2 linked regions of the Drosophila melanogaster genome follow. The protein of the gene in region 2 purifies or fractionates together with the protein of the main gene of each other region. This does not show direct contact. Each region holds a gene or a part of one and is shown on either strand. Other genes may lie near its edges.

Evidence for each region. Proteins that work in one complex are often made in the same cells at the same time.
Region 1: the proteins of insc (region 2) and Galphai purify together in Drosophila melanogaster (affinity purification with western blotting; 2 studies listed by BioGRID, with this or other methods). This does not show direct contact.

Annotation. Positions count from the first base shown.
Region 1 is NT_037436.4:6,973,999-6,981,585, forward strand, and holds the start of Galphai (G protein alpha subunit i), read right to left. Parts: upstream 6,047-7,587; 5' UTR 5,641-6,046; coding exon 5,520-5,640; intron 5,225-5,519; exon of another isoform or gene 3,649-5,224; intron 3,482-3,648; exon of another isoform or gene 3,171-3,481; intron 3,009-3,170; exon of another isoform or gene 2,324-3,008; intron 476-2,323; coding exon 4-475; intron 1-3. UniProt on the Drosophila melanogaster protein: Guanine nucleotide-binding proteins (G proteins) are involved as modulators or transducers in various transmembrane signaling systems.
Region 2 is NT_033778.4:20,833,013-20,837,977, reverse strand, and holds the start of insc (inscuteable), read left to right. Parts: upstream 1-1,949; 5' UTR 1,950-2,308; intron 2,309-4,965.

The sequences.
Region 1 (7,587 bases), on a different chromosome or scaffold from region 2:
CACTTGAAGTGCAGCTGCTTGCAGGAGAAGTGTGTCTCGATGATGCCAGTGGTCTTCACCCGCGTGCGTAGCACATCCTGCTGCGTGGGTATGTAGTTCGGTTGCGCGATCCTATCCAGCGAATTTAGATAGTATCCCGCCGAGTCATTCAACTGATATTCGCGCGATCGGGCGAAGCTCTGCTGTACGCCACCGTCTGCCCAGAGTTTCTTCATCAGGAGCACGATCTCGGGCAGCAGGATGCCCTCGTCGGCGGCAGAGGCGTGTGTGAAGAACTGGCGGGCAATGTCCGTTCGGCTCGGATCGGCAAACTCGATCTTCAGGCGTCCCATTGCGCGGATGATCACCATTAGACTCTGCACCGTGTTGCTGAAGACGACGCGACGATACTCCTCGCATTCCTCCTGCGAGTAGCCCGTGTCATGGATGATCTTCATCTGTTTCACAATCGTTGACTTGCCCGACTCTCCGGCTCCTACAAAAGAAATTCAACAGAGTTTATTAGTTAAGGTGTACTATCAAAGTTTATAAAGAATCATTCCAAGGAAGTGTGAGCTCAATATTTGTATGCACCAAGTTCAGGGCGTAAAACTGAATGAATGAATCGATGAGTTCGGTTTCGGGAAGGGGCTTTTAAGTTTGCCAAGGGGAACGGAAGTGGAATTTATGAATGAGACGATCGAGAAAAGTTGCTCAATTGCGCGACTCAAGAGGTCACGCTTAATTGCGCTGGTCTAGTTGAGAAATGAATGAACATCGTGTATATGGTCATTTAATATAGCATGTCGGATTTCAATACGAATCAAATGAACACCAAATAAGGGTCAATAATATTGTGATAACAGATCAAGTTATATGCACATCATCATGCTAAAGATAATCCAAATAGATATATGCATTTTCTAAGCGTACTACTCTGTAATTTATTATAATTTATTAACTTGCATGGCCGAGCCCTGGAGTTCGTTGAACCACCCACCCATTAGTTATCAAAGGCGTTGGAAATTGCGGAGAAAATTAACTGGGCATAATTTTATTCGCCGAGTGCCTTCAATTGTTAAATGAGACCTGACCCGTCAGCGTTGATAAACAACAAACACACGGGCTCGTCTGGGCAGTTTATTATATATGTAGTACTATGTATATTATCTGCTGCGTCGAATGATAAAAAAAAAAATATGAAACATAATCGCATTACGTGCTCGCCAGTTTCCCTTTTCGCTGAAAACTAAAGAAGTTGAAATCGCAGAGCAAATGGGCAAATACAAAAATTGGCAAATCTGCCGGTCCAAGTAATTTCGAATATCTATAGCTATATATAAACATATATACACGATGTTGGGGCATTGCAACAATGGCGCATTAAGCCGACTTTTTGCTGCAGTTGGTAGTTGGGTCCATTCCCAGCCACCGGATGATTAGGTAATTGCCAAAGCCAAAACTGCGACTTTACTTTCACTTTTCTCAACTTTCAGGGCTTCGATACTTGCACTGAAACTTTAATTGTTTTTACTATTCGTACGTATATCAATCAGCCATGGTTGAAGTTCCCTTGGGGCGGATGGTGCTCATTCAATGAAGATTGGTAAGTTTAATACATATGTTACGTACATTTATGAAGATTAAGAAATTCAGCCTATAGTTTTAGGTACCATAATGTGTTAGAATAGGGTCCACTCTAATTGTAATGTGCTGGCCACTGTTACACCTACTGTTAATATATATTACACTAAATGGCCACTGTTACATTCACTGTCAATATATATTACATTAAATTTGTTTTATAAATTTTTTTGAGTTATTGTTAAGACTTCAATTTTAACCAATTCCGAACAATGCTAACTAATTTTGCCACCAAAAAGTGTTGGAGCGAAAGAGACGCCTGCTGAATGCTGATAATGGGCAAACAACGGTCGCCGCATAATGATGAAATTGACAGATTTGAATACGAATATGGACATAAGGCGATGTTCAAACTTGCCACCGTGTGGAAAAAAGTAGCGAACAAAGCAATCCACAAATGAGCGGCTGGAAAAAGGTCAATTTAATAATAACACTACTAACAAAATGCGAAAGAGTGTGTGCGTGTGTGTTGGTGTGGCTGGGCCTTCATTTATCAATGCACCGTTAGCTGTGCCATAACACGCGCCCGGCCGACTGCGGGTGCGAGCGAGAGGCCAACAATAGGGCTGGAGCGAGACGGGCTCAGAACAACGGCGATACGCACAAAGCCGCGTTTACAAGCTCATTATCATCGCGATGGCCACAACCAAACGGTATTATAATTAACATCATTAAACAGTGAATATCGGCGAAAAAAGAATCGGCGGGGAATGCAGGAATTCTAGCTTCTATTGATATATTTTATAGTTGTTAGAAGTTGCTAAAAAAACTTTTTATTATATTTATTAGAATTTGAAATTGTAAACAACATTCAAATATTTGTTCAATTTGTCATAAATGATTAAAAAATCACTATTTAGCTAGATAGGAAATTTAAGGAAGACATGCAGTTTTTACTGCACCAACCAATTCGTTAGATAATTACTTATCGAAATTAGAATATTCATTGGAAACAGGGTGACTAAGGCTACGCCATGCGATGATTTAAAAAAGAGGGGAGAAGAAAGAACAATAGCTGTAGACAGCAAGAGGAGGAGAATCGTAAGAAAGTGTTTGCGCCATGAGTAATCAAGTTAAATGGCGCCTGGCCTCAGTTATCGAAGTGGGAAATGTGTTAATCAGCGGGGAGTGTGAAATTGAGCGGACCCACCGAAAAAGTAAACAATTAAATCAGATGAAATGCGGCCCCAAAACGGAAGCCCCCCACCTAGTAGTGACTTTCACGCAGATCTCTCGATTATCATGAAATTTCCTATATGTGATGTACATACATATGTACATCAATTATTTAACCACATATAGTATATTGACGTACATATGTATAAGGTCGCTCGCTTGGCGATAATTTTGATAAGCCCAATGATACTTTCAGTTTAAATGTGTTGGTAAGCGAGTTCTTAAATAATTGTAGATTATTAAGTTGCTGTGTGTTGACAGTCTGAGTGCCGATTTTGATATTGGTGCGCCAGCAGCATGACACTATTTTGTTTATATATTATTTTCTTCCCATTTTTTTCATATTTTTTTTTTTTTTTTTTTTTTTACAGATATCCGAGTTCTTACTCATGCCCCCCCCATTGGAATTCGTTTTCTCTCTTCGGTTTGCTGCTCTTTCCTTGCAAATATCATCAAAATAATGCAGTAATTCACTATCTTTGCCCTTAAGCACAATATGTTTGGTTGAAAAACGGTTGAAAAAGTTGTGCTTTTCAATTGAAAGGCTTGCGGAAAGGGGGGGGGGTAAGGAAAAGGGGAGAGGCAGCAGAGTGTAATATAAATTGAGTGTCAGCTGAGCAGCTTTATTAAATCTACTCAATAAGCGCAGCGTTGGGGGCTGCCAATTCCGATTCCAATTCAAGTAAGTAGTCGCTGTACACTGGTAGAAATTACCAATAAATTCAATGAATAATATATATATTTATACTAAATTATAAGCAATGTCTTTACTGCATAATTTGAAAACTATATTTTTTAAAGATATTTTTTTTAGCAAACTAGTACATTCTTCTTTTTCTTTCCGTGTAGCCGCGACAGTTGCATTTGATGGCGGGCCCATTTATTTGCGCTAATATCGTTCACCCCACTTGAAATGTCAGCGAACAAACAACGAAGCAGCAACAAAAACAGCCAATTACTCAGCTGGAAGTCGGAGGAAAGCTGCAGCAGCTCGGAGATCGGAGATCAGAGATCGGTTTTCATCATGATCCAGAAATTACAGAACACACGCCCCACAAGGTGCAAACAATTGAATCAAGTGTAAAATGTTGGGCTAAATTTCAAAATGCAACTGGTGCAAGCTGTTTTCTTGGCTATGTAAACCAGAAGCATTTACACTGGTCAACCGGGGGTTTGGACGAAAACAGCTGGGATACTGAATGATAATAGGGGATATCTTTTAATGGGGATGAAAATGGTAGAATTTTCCTGCACCTTTTAGCGGGCATTTTCCAAACCGGTTTACGAGGTTTTTCATTGAGGCAAACAGTTTTCCTTATTATCTTTAAGCCTGCAAATACAGTGGTTACTCACAAACAAATATAGTGCAAGGTGCGGTGGCTGCTGATAAGCTCGATAAATGTTTTACAGTGTAAATGAAAACTACACTATGTTCTAGGTTCCAAAAAAATCATTTACTAATGTGCATCATTTTTTTTTTTAGAAAAATCCTTTTGAAATGATAACATTTGACATTATGAATTAATTTAGTACAGTAAACCCTATATATCAGTTCACTTAATAAAGGTGTAGGTTGCATAGCCAGTCTTTGCTGTACTTTCCAGCCTACCACTCGTTGCCTTAGTCATCTTGGCCCGATTCATTGGCCAATCAGCCGCGCTGGAGGAAAACTTCCACGGCATTGTTTTTCGCAAATGAATGGCAATGAAATGAAAAGTACACACGCAGACGGTGAAATATATCATCGTTCCCATATGCCGTGCATATAAATCGGCGAGTGGAAATTTAATTGCAGAAGGTTGCAACGCAGCGAGGCATTCAGTTTCACTGCATTTGCCGCAGAGGTCGGGTCACCAAAAACCATACATACATCATATATGTATGTATGTATGTATGCATGTATGTTTGTATATGCGATACGATGGCGCCTCGTCGCTTGAATGGTTTTTCCTGCAAAGTGGAAACCGCTGCGCTATCAACAAACATGTTTCCATTGCGGCAATGGGATCCGATTCGATCCACTTGTTGCATCGATCCAAAAGATCTGAAAAGTGCGTGCCAGCAGATGAGAAACGAGCACTGAGTACCGAGAATCTAGAATCGAGTGTATCCGCACAGTCAAACCGACATTTGGTTTCAATTTACGTTCAATTCCCTTATCGCCAACGAATTATTGGACACAGACATTGCATAATGCACGATCTACGAACAGACGGATTTGTTTAGCCCCAAGCAGCCACATAAACATTGGTTTTCCCAGATAAACAGAGCTGCATGGAGTCTACTTACTCCATTCCATGCATATTTATAGTCGAAATATGGGATAGTTGGGGACTTTAGACTTTTATGTTAAACTGTTAGCTAGAATAACATGGTCTTATAATAACGAGTGATCTTAAAAACAAATAAATTACATTTTTCTAATTTTAGTCTTACTAATTCGTTATACTGTAACTCTACTGTATTGTTTCATCCCATGCCTTCCAGCCTTTTCCAGACCCTTTCGCACTGGAAAAGCCGGCAAAAATCCTTGCCCCAACTCACCACAGCCGAAAGCGCAAAGCAACGGCACCCAGCGGATACCCACCCCGCCCAAGCAAAGCGAGCGAATGGAAAAAAAAATGAGGTCACAACGCGAATTTCAGCAAAGAATTCGCAAAGGGGGGAAATACCGGAATAATGCTAGAGAGGTGAAAAGGTGAAATGGAAGGCGAACGCACCCAGCAGCAGCAGTTTCACCTCCGAGGCGGCCCGCTCGCCCTCCGCCCGCAGGGCGCGATCGATGTTCTTCGACCGCTCGATGGCCTCCTTATCGCGTGCTGTACTCACGGCACAACCCATCTTCGAAATATGTCTTTAGCGATTTGTTGCTCCTTTCTCACTTCGCGCACTCTTCTCACACGCGATTTTTCCAACAATTTCGAGATGCGTCTGCGCGTCGTCGGCTGTACACTTTTTTTCTTTTCGTTTTTTGTGTGCGTTTCCACCTCTCTTCCTTTTCACACAAACACACCACACATGCGCAGCGCACGCAAGCACACACACACAAACACACGCACACACACTGGCTTGAAACGTTTTTGGGTTTTTTTTGGAGATTAGCCCGATTGCATTGCTGTTTTCACGCTTCTTGCTGCAGCGGCAGAGCCGATTTAATATTCTTTTGTCGCTTTAATTTGCTTATCCGCTGATTTTGCTGTGCGCAATATGATTCACTTCGCGTCGGATTGGTGTGACTGTTTGCCGAAGTTCACAGATCGCTTGCTCACTGGCGTTAGTGCATTGCACACGATCGTTTGTGTGGCAACGCTGCCGGGTGTGGTACTCTGCTAGCTGCAGTCTGGCAGTACTCGCGGGGTGTGTGACTTGGCTAGCATCTTCTTGTAGGCAACTGTGACGTCACTTTTGGGCGGTAAATTTCAAATTAATTTAATTGATATACACGCATTTTAATTATCGCAACTTTGTAAACTTTATGCTTGAATGCCACTCATATGATCCTGTTTCCGCTGTTCAGTCGTGAGCCATACATGCATTATGCCCAACTTGCCCTTTGCATTTCAGTTTGTTGTTATAGCGCTTTAAGTGTAAATAAACATAGCCGAAAATATGATGTTGTTCTGAAATGCATGCCCCGCCACTCCCCCCTCATCAACACCAATGCAATGTGCACGCAGGCCGTTGGAGAAAAAGTTCTCAGGGCCCTGGCATAAATAATATTTGCCTTTATTTTGGGACAATTCCATTCCATTCTCGATTTGAATCCCAAATGTCTGCAGTTGCATGCGACGCAGGTACAGTGGAGCTCCTTTCTAACAAACTGACAATATTTAGAATCATTTAAAGTCAATTCGAAGAACAGAACTTTTTAAAAAATAACATAAATACGTCAATTCTTAAATAACAAAACATATGAGAACTAAAGAAATTACTTTCGTTTGCACTGTTAATCTTTTTATTTAAACTGAGCTTATATTTTATTGAGCTTATATTTTTAGTAATATTTAATTTCATTTTTTTTAAACTTATTTTTAGAGAATCATGCATATGCAATGATCATATAATTAATAATAACTTTATTAATGCAATAATATTAATATTTCAAAATTTCATTAGCATAATTCCACTTATAGAAGCTCCTCTGTTTTTTTCCAAATCGATGATATTAAAAGAAACTATTTTGTGAATTTTGTGGTATGGAACGTGACGGGGGGGGGGGGGGGGGGCTGGTCTTTCCGCAGCTAATTTATCTAAACAAAGCGATGCGAAGGCAGGAAGACGAGGATGCGGATAAAGATGAGAATGAGAATGAGGATGAGGATGGGGTCGCAGTGCAAAAGTTTTGCCGCCGCCGGAGGACGTCACATGTGGCCACCATCCCCCTCCCCTCCTCAAGAAACACCCCCACCCCCCTACATCCACCACCCCTCCTCTTGCTCTACCATGAATATAAAGGCCATCAACGGGTCATGATTTACACATGTTTACACGAAAAGTGCGGCATTTGCAGAGGGGCGTAGGAGTGGCGGGGAGAGGGACGGTGAGGAATTAGGGGGCATGCGGGGGTATCTGCTGTCTTGTGAATGAATGATCATTTGTGCGCTACCGAACACCCTGCAACCTCTGTAATTTATCGTAAAAAGCACAAGCTAGAGAAATATGGATTTATGCGGTTTTCGCTGCGCGTGCGAGCGAGAGAGAAATACAGTGATGCTGCACTGTGGGTGGTCGCTCTCATTCCATCTCTGTCGCACTTACTGCCTGCAAATGCGGCGCACGCTGCCACAT
Region 2 (4,965 bases):
TGAGCTGAGCTGCGAGGCTCGTGCATTTCGTTAACGTGACAAAAATACATTGATTACATTTTTTTTAGCTGCACTCGACTCGGGGATCTGCGTTTTTGGGCTCTAGGAGCTAGGAGCTGGGATCTGGTAACTGGGAGCTGGAAAACTGGGTACTGGGTACTGGGAACTGGGACCTGGGCGCACGTCCGCACACTTGGCACATTTGTCAGGGCGACGCCGCGATGTAAACATCTTGCACGTAGGATCCGGGGTCCTTTTGCATCCTGGCTGGATGGCACGACAACTAGTTGTAGTTGGAATCGGAGTCCTCGTGCTGCACGGGGTCTTTGAACTGACAAATTACATTGACAACGAATGGGGCGAAATTCCATTCGTGTGCACTCTGAACTCCAACTCCTCTAGCTCCCCAGAACTGTCTCATTTTGTGAGGCTCCACACTGAAAAGTTTGGGGGTCAATGCCATGGCATTTCATATAAACAAAAAGTTAGGCATAACTGTCAGCAAGCAAATAAAATAAACAAATGTCAATAAATGACAATTGATTGTGCTTTTCAAAGTTTTCGGCCCAAACCATTATTAGTCAAATCAGATTGTCTATTTAGTTTACATTGTGTTAATGATTTAAAACTCTCGGTTTGGACACGATTTATTTGTATAGCCATTTGAAAATGGCATTTATTGTCATTTTTTTTTTTTATTGCTACGCGTTGTTAAAATTTCTTGAAAGGTGTCAATAGCAAACAGATGTTAAACGAGATACAGTATTGAATATTGGTTTTATTCTATGAATTTCGATCCTTCATAAGCGAAACATTGTTTTCATTTGTTAGTTTCAGTGCACTTTGTTCATTAGTTGTTTGTGGATTTAATTTGCTTACTTGGCTCTGTGCTTTTGCTTATTGTTTCAGTTAGTTTCGCAATTTGGAAACTATCTCAAATTGGCAATAGTGAAAAGAGCAAACACATCGTGGGCTCCTCTTAATTATTTTCACCGACGAACGGGTGGGCGATCGAACTCTTATGGCTGTAATAATTGGTGCAAAATTGTTCAATTGCCTAATTGCTGTCGATTGCTCATAATTTTTAGTGTAACACTGTGTATTTGTGGCACATTTTCGTTTTATGGCCACGAGCGTTCATGAATGAATGGGCTTTATTTACAGGGCATTTAAAAGTTTCGGGTAATCTTATCACCCAGAAGTGTTCAAACTTGCGCAAGTCATCAAACAAATTTCGAAACGGAAATACCAAAGGGTTGAAATAGTCTAAACGAAAAGATAACTGCCTTAAAATTGCGCCCAAAATTCGCACAAAATCGCAGTAACAATAACAAGCGAACCTAATCAAAAATCCAAAATCTCAGGCAGCTGCGCATGCGTAGCAGATGAAAGAGATAGCGAGAGATCGCACCTTTGAAAATGCTACCGGAACAGCTGGCGCAGAAGAGCGAGAGGGAAGACAGGAGTGAGTGATAAGAAATAGCAACAAAAGCGCATAAACCACCACCAACTACTACAACAACGAACGCGACAAAGCGAACAATGCTCTTCATTATGCCCGTTATTATTAAACAAATAGGGAGAGCGAAAGAGAGAAAGGTGAGAGCGCACCATGTTGATAACACACCCCGTGTAGCTAAAAGTTAGCCAGATTCACAATTAAAGGAGCTAGAAATGCTGATATATGCTCAATTTGATTTATGATCACCTATAAAAACTTGATACTGATAATAGCAGCTAATAATACTTTAATTTTCAGTACCTTAAGACACATAATTCAAAGTATGCACTCAATTAAAACATTGTATTAGATATCCTTAGCTAGAAAGTAGTCAAGCTGCCAGCACTGCCTACCTTACTCACCCAGGTAATTTGACTCCGACTCTCCGGCTTACTGCTCTCCCACCCCGGGAATTAGAAGTCTGAGTCGAAGTCGCCAACTGTAGCCGCTCATTCGATTCCCAGCAGTCGAAGCACGCAGACGCAACCGCTGCGATCGTCGCGAGATATTTGTGTTCGATCATTGTTTTCGTATCGTTCGGGTTAACCACGTTCGTTGAGTGTCGTGTCGACTTGTGTTTACCGTTGTGCAGTGTTAAACTATTTACGCTTTGTCTTGTGGGTGCAGCACCCCCACCACCCAGCCACCCACTACACATACGCACTGTCAAGTTTTGTGGTGCCCAAAAGTAATCAAATGACACGTGCTTGAAATACACATTTTACTATCCATCAGTGGCGGCCGAAACAACAACAAAAGCATAAGCCAAACTTGGGATTACCTCGGCATTGTTTATACAGGAAAGCGGTAAGTTTTGGCCACAATAAACCGTAAAGCACATTCGGAATGCTTTGACCCCAATAAGCTTAACAATAAACACAAATATTCAATACGATTCCGCATACGCCCCTCGTAATTACACATGCCTTAATTCACATAATCACAAACTACAGACATATGTATATATTTATGTACCTCCGCCCATTTATTGAAGTAAATTCCGATGGTTTTTATTTTTGCTCATTCGAGGACCTCGCTAAGCCGCGTTTTATGACTCAGGAGCCTCACAAAGTCAAAGTCGTCAGACCGCAAACTGATTTCGTTCGCTTTTCTCCGAATGTTCTTTATAACGTAGATCCCACAAATGAGTCATCCGTGCGCTTGGGGATACCGGAGTGGATACATAACTGCCTGAGATACGTATGTATCGTATAATTGGGGGAGGCAGTGGGCTAAGGTGACTGATCAGGTTGATGGGGAATGAATGAGCTGGGGGTGCTGGTGACTAAGCCCCCAGCATTGGATAACGCTAATTGGGTTGGGTAAAGAAATGTGTGCACACAGATGTGATAGTCTGCTGGCTAGGAAAGAGTCACCTCTAAGGCAGTTGTGAATGGGTTACATTGAATAACATTCCAGTCAGTCCTCAAAAATATCCAGTTATGTAGCTTGAAATAAAAAACATTTCTAAAAGAAGATTTTTAAGTTTCTTTGAATGTTTTGGTTGGTCTCTTACATTTTAATCAGCTTATGCATTTGAAGAAGTTGGCTTTCGCCACCTCGAATACTTGTTATCTCGACTCATCTGGAAACCTCAGAATATATCAGTGGCACGATTTCAATCTCACCGCATTGTGGTGTTTCGCAGATTTCCCTAATTTCAGTTTGCCCGCGCCTAATTGCAATAATCAAGGGAGCACCGCATAATCTCACTGATCTAGTTCCAGTTTAAGAGCGTTTCTGCGGTCTCGATGGCTCCATTAGAGTGCTAAACACCGGCCATTACGGCGGTCATCAGGAGAGGTGTTATTACCTGGACGTCTGGACGTGGAAACCAGTCGGCACTGGAAGTCACTCACCTGTTGCGGCCAAGAGATCGATATCATTGACAATTGGTGTCGACGGTAGCAGCAGTGGTATATAATGCCAGTTCGATATGTTGCTACCGTTAGATGGGAAATGCCAAAGCAATGATGATTGTCCATTTGAGTGGGATTAACGTTTAATTTGGCTTAGTTTATTGATTTTCCATCGAACAGGTCGGTTAAATGTCAGGGAATGTCGCGAAATGGAACATTTCGTCGATTGCATTTGCTAAACCATTTGCAACTCTTTGTTTTTTGCTCACTCATGTGTCAGTTTGACATTTTGCAACAATGGTCGATTCTATTGAACGGATTATGGCTGCCGCGACTTGAATAATTGCACGGTTTTAATGCGTTCATTCAGTTTTTTACATAATTAAATGATTGTTTAAAACTGATTTATTATTTAATTGTTTGCCACTCGAACGACAACAATTAATTATGCAATGGCGCAAAGATGCGATATAAATAAATAATAATTTCATTATAATCAATGCAACAGCTGCCAGTGGGCGCAAGTGATGCGCGGAAGGGGCGTGGCAAGCAATTAAAATTTATTACTCTTATTTTGCATTTATTCCATTTTAATTTGTCGTTTAAATGTCAAAACTATTAAAATAATTATGCTGGATGCCGGATTAATCAATGCTCTGGCCTTTGTCCAATCGATTTTGATCTGGTTGGGCCGTAACTTTTGGTTAATTAATCGGGGTTACGAGCGGGGAAATTTACCCCATCCACCCCATTCAACTTTCCCCCATTTCACCTTGTGTCCAATTTGTGCGGCTGACCCCAATGAGCCAAGTTCAGTTAACACTTAACCACCCCGCATATTAACTTAATTATCATGATTAACATTTTCTGTGTAATTTCTGTATTTTCGCTGGCCGTTCTCAGTTGAATTTTGCGATGCAATTCCCATTATTCGTACCTTTTAAACTGACCAGAACTTAAATTTGTTATTCAACACGCTTCCCTCGCTTTTTTTCTGTTTTTTTTTTTCTTGATTTGTTTATTATGAAATGCTTTCGATAACGAACCATTATCATATCTTCATGCGATATGGCAAAGAGTTCCGTTGATTTCTTTCTGTTTTCGCAGATTGAAGTGCATAAATTATTTTGTCTCTATTTTTAAATTAATTGGCAGATTGTCGCAGACTTTAGAATTCTATTTGGTCGCAAACTTGTTTGGCGACAACTCTATTAGGCATTTGCATATGAATTTCGACTGCCTTTTGTGCCTAATTAGCCGGCAAAAGTACAACGAACTTCGAAAATTGTCTTATTTTCTTAGTCACGAATTTAATGTACAATACATCAATTTCTACACTATGCAACACACCCAATTAAGTGCAATTTGTGACTTTGTGAGCCTCATTAACTCATCGCATCTCAGCTCAGCTATTTCTCCTCGTGGAAACCGGATTGTTAGCTAAACATTTTTTACATTACTTTGCCTTTGCCTACTAATGAGCAGAATTACTCATGACTGGCCCATGTAGATATAAATATCGATTGAGGGGCTGTTTTTCAATCAATTTAAACGGCGTGCCGTGGCAGGGGGAGGTGGTAATGAGACAAACGAACCACAGAAAAA